Styela clava: one gene and its partner. The protein of the gene in region 2 purifies or fractionates together with the protein of the main gene of each other region. This does not show direct contact. Links are inferred from orthologs where the notes say so. Each region holds a gene or a part of one and is shown on either strand. Other genes may lie near its edges.

What was found. The genes of interacting proteins can lie anywhere in the genome.
Region 1: the proteins of uncharacterized protein LOC120338465 (region 2) and PAN2-PAN3 deadenylation complex catalytic subunit PAN2-like purify together in Homo sapiens (affinity purification with western blotting; 3 studies listed by BioGRID and IntAct, with this or other methods). This does not show direct contact. The link is inferred for Styela clava from reciprocal best matches to the Homo sapiens genes TNRC6C and PAN2.

The regions. Positions count from the first base shown.
Region 1 is NC_135254.1:1,610,440-1,614,198, reverse strand, and holds the start of PAN2-PAN3 deadenylation complex catalytic subunit PAN2-like, read left to right. Parts: upstream 1-1,473; 5' UTR 1,474-3,144; exon of another isoform or gene 3,145-3,759. UniProt on the Homo sapiens protein: Catalytic subunit of the poly(A)-nuclease (PAN) deadenylation complex, one of two cytoplasmic mRNA deadenylases involved in general and miRNA-mediated mRNA turnover.
Region 2 is NC_135259.1:12,238,311-12,242,069, reverse strand, and holds the start of uncharacterized protein LOC120338465, read right to left. Parts: upstream 2,355-3,759; 5' UTR 2,262-2,354; coding exon 650-2,261; intron 159-649; coding exon 16-158; intron 1-15. UniProt on the Homo sapiens protein: Plays a role in RNA-mediated gene silencing by micro-RNAs (miRNAs). Required for miRNA-dependent translational repression of complementary mRNAs by argonaute family proteins.

The DNA of each region.
Region 1 (3,759 bases), on a different chromosome or scaffold from region 2:
GATTGTGTGAATTCTGTCTAATAACGCTTCAATGATTTATGAATTCTGTGAATTCTGCCAAGTTGCGCTTGAATGATTCAGGTCAAATAATGGTAAATGGAAGAGGTGCTATCAGTGGCGCAACCAGCGGGGGGGTTACGGGGGTCGTGTCCACCCCGTTTGAAATTCGTTTTTTTTTATTATCGTTCTACGTTCAAACAACGTCGTTCCACGGTCATAACAATCCGGTGAAAACTACTTTTTTCCAGTGCTTTATCACCTCGACGTAATTTAACACCGCCCGACTTCAATCATACCTTTTTGCTGTTAGTTACGTAACAATCGCTATCCCCGCGTATATGTTTGTATTCGAAAATGAGATATGTTACCTCAAAAAGGTAGAAATCGCGCGCTGTCGATGCGAATTGAAAGCGACAATAGCATAATGCTATCTCTTTCTCTCTTGTGACGAATACTCTCGTGCTTCATCATCTTGACGCAATGTATCGCCGCCCGTCTTCATGTTATAATAATGCAGTAGAAACTCTCAAAATCTGGATACGAAAATTATTTTCGGAAAAATATTGATTTTTATCGCAGCCATGTGTGGTACGGCAATAACTAACAGTCGTCGTGAAAGGTTTTCAATAAACTCCGACTTGAAGTGCTTATAAGACGTCGAGGACGTTTTTGGTTGAAAATTTTTTACATTTGTTATCGTATATTTCAATTTAGTCAAGATATGTTGTGCGCCTCGGCAATAAACTTAAAAGCAAATCCTGCCCTAATTAATTGTTTTCATCCTCAGTTTCGATAGTTATCGAACTTACCGGGAAATTTTTTAATTTCTTGCACTCTATAAAATAGCTTCTAAATATTATTTGGTTTCTATCGGAGATTTTATCGTTATCCCGGCGTCGTTAATAACAATATCGTTCATTTTAAGTTGGAGGTATTGGTTTATAATCGAAAAATTATAACACATAACATGAAAAATTTAAATCAACGCCGACTCAAAAAGTAAAACACGTTTCTCCATCTTTATTCTCCATTATTGGCGGACGGAAATTTGGGAATCGGGTTTAACTAATTTGATTATGATGACGATGGTAAACAAAAGTACACAAACATACCATACCGTTCTTAGTTTTTAGTCGTTATTTCTCTGTCCTTTCTTCTTTCTATGTGCATATTAAGACCATAAAACGTGTTTTATTTTTGAACTCTGCGCTGATTTGAATATTTCATGTCGGCTGTTATGTATTTTTGTTTGTAAATGAATACCGCTAACTTAAACTGAACGATGTTGTCATCAACGCCGGATGCCGTCGAAATCTGCGATAGATATTAAATACTATTTAAGAGCTATTTTATATGCGCTACATTACAAGTAATGAAAAAATTTCCTGTTATGTTCGGTCACTATCGAAACTGAGAATGAAAACAACTAATTAAGACACAATTTGCCGAGGACGCCTGAACCATCTCGACTAAGTTAAAATACACGATAAGAAAATATTTTCAATCAAAAACGTCCTTGAAGTCTTATAAGTTCTTCAAGTCGGCGTTTATCGAAATTCTTTCATGTCAGCTGTAATATATTGCCGAACCACACATGGACGACGCTAGGATATGTGCGCCATATTCGGGATTATTATAAACACGAAAAAACAGTATTTGAAGTTTGCGATATTTGAATTTAAATTCGATTTGGACATCCCTGCATTAAATTAGTCATTTTTTAGTTGTGTTTCCAAAAATTAGTTGTAAATCAATTATTTTAATTGTCATCATGTCTTCCGGTGAGCTTCAGTTTAGTTTAGAACTTTTCTGGGGTTAGGGTCGGGAAAAGGTCCATTCGCAAGAAGTGCATTTTGTTTTTAGTCTTGACGAATTCACCCAACGAGCAAGGCCGGCACTAGGGAAACACTGGAATTTATTCAAGCCGTGTTTCACTATCCACGAGGCGCAAAGCGAGGGAAATGTTGAAAATAATTAACAGCTTTTCGTTAGCAATTCGCTGGAATGTAATGAACGGTGTTTGCTACCCACGAGGTGCAAGACATAGCGAAGCGTCGTTAATGAACGAGTGCAAGGTAAGCTGAAGGCTGGGATTTAATCGATGGCGTTTCCATTTTAACCACGAGCAATTTATCGCGTTTCAGCGGGGCGACACCTAGAGGCGTTGCGACTTACGTCGTGGTTGCACTGTGTAAATTCCTGTCGGACCCCCCCCCCGTTGAAAACGGTCTGGTTGCGCCACTGGGTGCTATTTTAAAATTTATATATAGGCTTGCCTATTCTGATGTTGATTGAAAATTATGATTTAAGTTTAATTTTATTTATTAAAAAGAAAAATTCCATATTCAAGTTCAAATAATAAAAGTAACTCTTTACATATTGTCAGATTTCAATCAGGCCTCATCACATTTTTAGAATAAAGCGCAATCATAGCGATTTTTCTTGTGAATCATAACTTATATTTTGGCAGAATATACTCATTTGAATTATGTGGAACTTATGCTGCAAGTCATTCTTCATTTTTTCAAATATGATTAAATGCAATCATCTCGTTTTCAACTAAAATTATCATAACATATATTTTGGCAGAATATGCTCATTTGAAATATGTGGAACTAATGCTGCAAGTCATGCTTCATTGTTTTTATGCTCATAACCAAATCCCTCTGTTATGTTGCCACTTTATTCTTCGGGGTGGCTGTAATGGGGTCGGAATTGAACTAGGAACCCAAACTCATAATTGTTTAAAAGCAGGGCTGTGCAGCCCGCGGGCCAAATGCGACCCACAAGGAAAAATTATGAGGCCCACAGAGAAGTGCCAATTTTAAATAGTGTTTGGCCCACGAAACGAGTTTTCAATTTAGTCCTATCTAGTATGTGCAGGTAATTCCTATTCCTTTGCATTGCAAAACTTATACCTGAGCTTATGCAGAGCTAACAACACGTGTCATAAAATCAGTAACCAAAGTTTTGTGCTTGCAACTACTAGAAAGCCTATGTTGAATAAACGTGCGGCCCGCGATTTCACTCAGATATTCCTACCTTGCCCTCTTGTATTAAAGGTTGCACATCCCTGGTTTAAAATCATTAGAAATATTTTCAGTTATTACTAATCGATCTTAAGATCGGTAAGTATGTTGATAGGTTTTTGTCTGTTTGTATGTCTGTGTGTTAGATGCACGCGATATCTCACGAAAGCGAGTTTGAATCTGCTCCAAATTTTGAATGTGCATTCATCATAGCTCGGATCAGGATTATGTCTTATAATTAGCGAGTTATTGATTAATTAGTGATGGGACACACGGTGTCACTATGGAGTAAGACCACTGTTTTGAGGGATCCCCTAACCTTCGATCGATAAGTCTTCTTCTTTTAACCGATATTCTAGTTTTTTAAATTCATTACCATGTGCAGATGAAGCTTCAAATACTATGCAGTTCATGCATTCTATACTTTCTAATTTGGGTGCTATCTCGTTAGGGCCCAGCATCTAATTTCCGACCTTTTTAGTTTATCTTAAATTTATGGCAGTTCAAACAGGTACCCTAAGCCGAGAGGTCTACGGGACAGTTCTTTCTGGTTCACAAGCAATGTCTTCCGTTATTGAAAATTTGTGATTAATTTTAATGATTAATTTAAAAAGAATGGATCATGTCTTTTCAAACTATTTGCTATGCATGAAAACCCATATTTACCGGCTTCTCTGAAAATTTTCGAACCCCCCCCCCCCCCTCTAAAAATATCTTGCTATGCCCCTGG
Region 2 (3,759 bases):
TGTTTTGATTATTACCTTGATTGATGTTTGATTCCAACCAGAATTTGCATCTGTTTGGCCCCACTGTTGTCCGGGTTGTTCTGGGGTGTTACCCCATCCACTTGTGTTACCGGCGCTTGGTTTGTTGCCCCAATTGCTATTTTGGTCCCAGTTAGATCCTGAAAAAATATTGATAAATGCTGATGAATATTTTCGTGAAATGAGGTGAACATGAAGCTACGTAATTGAAGGCTGTGCAAGTTGTCATAACTGTGAAATGGAACTCGTGAAATTTAGAAACAAAGAACCAAAATTCCTTCAAATTCGTACACTAGTATGAAGTTGTTTAAATTTTTTTCAAATTGGCATATTTCTCTTTGCTCATGACAAGCTCCAAATGCCTTTGGAAATGAACATTCCAAATGTTACCAGAGCGACTCGAAAAAAAGGGTCCAGTAATCCAGGATGCTTTGCACAATAGTTACGCTCTCTTTAGAATGTTAAATGAATTGGATTCTAAATGTGAACATTTCTTAGCTTTAATACATTCATGTAGGTAATAATTGTTAGTCCACTCATTCTTCATGATTCACATTTATATGAAATAAGATAGACTTCTACAATAAGAAGAAACACTGTGCTTTAATACAACCAAATATCTAGCTCGAACCTGAATTAACTGGTGGTGGTTTTCCCCAGTTAGAAGTCCCATTGTCTACATTAGGTTGCCTGACTGGTGGGTTCCCATCGCCCCATCCAGTGGGTGAAGGTGGTTTGTTTGACAAATTTTGTGATCCTGGCTGTGCACCCCAGCCAGTAGGTTCTGCTTTTGTTTTGCTAGCGTCACCCATACCCCCCATGTTCATTCCCATACCCTGTTTTTTATCCCACATATTCACGCTTTTGTATGCGGTTGGATCTCCCCATGCCGAGGTTCCATCATCAACTTGACTGGATTGACGTTGCATGTTTTGTGTTTGGTTCCAACTACTCTCTGGTCCAGGTCTAGTGTTCCCCCAATTAGATTGGGGGTTTCTTTGTGCGGCATTACCCCAACTGCCACCATCTGTAGGAGTAGTATTCCCCCAATTACCCGAAGGATTGTTACCCTGTTGCACACCAGAAGCGCCCCAACCTTGATTTGAATTTGGCATAGCTGTTGGAGGCGTGTTCCAGCGATTGACATTAGCCGTTGGCATTGGGGGAGGTAAACGAGCCTCACCCCATCCCGGTTGTGCTTGAGTTGGTTGCGTTGCACCACCCCATGATGGTCGGGGTTGTTGTGGTATTGGATTGGAATTAGGTCCCCAACCACGTACGCTAGGGGTACCAGTAGCAACGTTATTATTACCTTGCCATCCCCCACTGGCAGGCTGACCCGCAGCAGTCTTACCCCAAGCTTCTGTGCCTGTCTTATTTGGAGGCTGCCTGACAAAGTTCGGTGATTCTGATATATCCCAGGATGTGTTTTGTAGGATAGGCTTCTTCCCCCAACCTTCATGGGAATTGACAAGCTTTTGTACAGGGTCATTTGGATCCACGTCACCATTAGGAGGAGCATCTTGAGAATCTGATGGGCTTTGAGCCTGTTGTAACTGTGTTTGTGCCTGATCTGTTTCTGTATCCTTCAGTACATTTTGTTGTGAAACAGGAGGTTGATGACTCGCTTGTCCTTGTGCGGGTGGTGCAGCAGCGGCAGCTGCCCAAGATTCGGGCTGTTGCGGTATTGAATTATGGTGTTGTGATGGCCCAGTCTGAAGTTGTTGTTCGGGCTGTGATGAAATTTGTGCCGCAGCAGATGGAGTTGTTTGAGGTGGGATATTCCAAGCTGATTGAGCAGGACTTTGATTAGATGGAGCTCCCCAACCACCTGATGAGCCTCCAGTGTTACTTGGCTTTCCCCAAACAGCAGTTCCGTTGTCTACCTGGGGCTGTCTGGACCAATTATTTCCCCCACTATCTGGGACCCCCCACCCAGTAGTACTTTGTTGAGGAGTACCCCAACCATTGCTTGTCGTTGTGGTGTTAGTATCGCCTGAAATACCCCCACCACCCCAACCTCCAGGATCGGGTTGTTGTAAATTACCCCCAAAGCTCTGACTCGGTTGTTGATGCATTTCTTGTCCTTGTACTACTTCTTGCTCTGAACCCAACTGTGGCCAACTTTCCGGATGCAAAACAGGAGAGCTGACTGTGCCTGATGGAGCAGCCCCCCAACCTGCGTTTGTAAGAGAAGATTCGTTACTATTATATTTCGTCTGCCAGTCAGTGCCAGAAGTCATTCTATCACAAAATCATAGAACGCATGATCAGCATACCAACTTTCAGAAAACATGTCTAAAAAATTATTCTAAATCTGTTGAAAAAAGTTGAAATTAATCACCATATTATTTGAAAACTGAACATTAGCAACTTTACACATTTATCAAGAAAAATGCTTTGAACTGACGTAACTATTAATTTTTTTTTCTCATTTGATTTTACATATCAAGTTTGAGGCAAAAAAACATACAAGAGAAATTTAACATAGCCTATATCAAAGGCTCAAAAAGTTATCTATCACAGGCCATGATGCATTGAAAAAAATTGACTTCATTAATCTACGACAAAGAAGAGTCTTACAATTCTTCACATTAAATCGATGCTACATGTGAGCTAGTTTTTATTCATATAAACGATATTAATACAACTGGAAACAGATATCTGCAAGTTGTAGTTCTTTCTCAACACTAATTTTAACGAATTTTATTGTTTATTAAATTTTAAATGAGGGCACATGAACTATAATTTTTAAAAATATGGATTGATATTTTGCGACACTCTGGCTTATATAATTTGTTATATCATGGGTAAGGAGGTAATAACCTTTATTGATTACGGAACTAATCGGATAATTGGCCAAATAATAATCTCCATATATAGCTTGGACGAACAGTAGAATACCTACTAATTAAAAACATTAATCAACAATTGGATCTAACAAACAAAATAATTGAAAAACACCCAATGATATGCTTACAATGCTTAGAAAACACAAGCATATTTCTATATATAAGAAATGAAAACTTCCAGTATGCCATAAAAAGATCAAAAATAAAACTTTAGCCTCCAATGAAAAATAGTTTCGATATCCTAGAAAAAAAATTCCTTTTCAATGAAATTATTATTATGATTTCCTATATGAATTCATATTTACTGGACCCTATTTAATTTTGGTTGCAGTGGACAATCGTCAACAATACAGTACAACTGTTTTTCAGTGGTTTTTCTAATAGATGAAATCACATTTGTAGGATAAAATTTTCAAACTTATCCTGAAGGAGGTAAGACGGCTTAATCATATGCCGATCCACGACTCACTTTCGGTTGCCAGTTCATATCGAATATGGAAATAGCTAACCAGTTATTTCTTTCAGATGTATGGACTTGATGGTGGAGGATGCCGTAACTTACCAGCCCTCACATGAATTATGATGAGTTTACTCTTGGCATGATGACTCAACTGCTGATAATATGTTAGCAATTTAAATTTGTTTATGGTATTCCTATAATTTGCAGACCAACTGAACAGGAAGTTCAATATTCTGAAAGCTAATAAACTTGTGAATGGGAGAAACAGCAGTCCCGCGCCTGACAATGGCAATAATTTGTGATCCATTGAGATATACCGGTAAGAGTTTTTTATTACAACAATTGATAAAAGAGTTTAATATAAAAATTGATTATATATTGAATTTACGTATGCACGGATATTGCCTTATTCATATGGCATTTCATTCG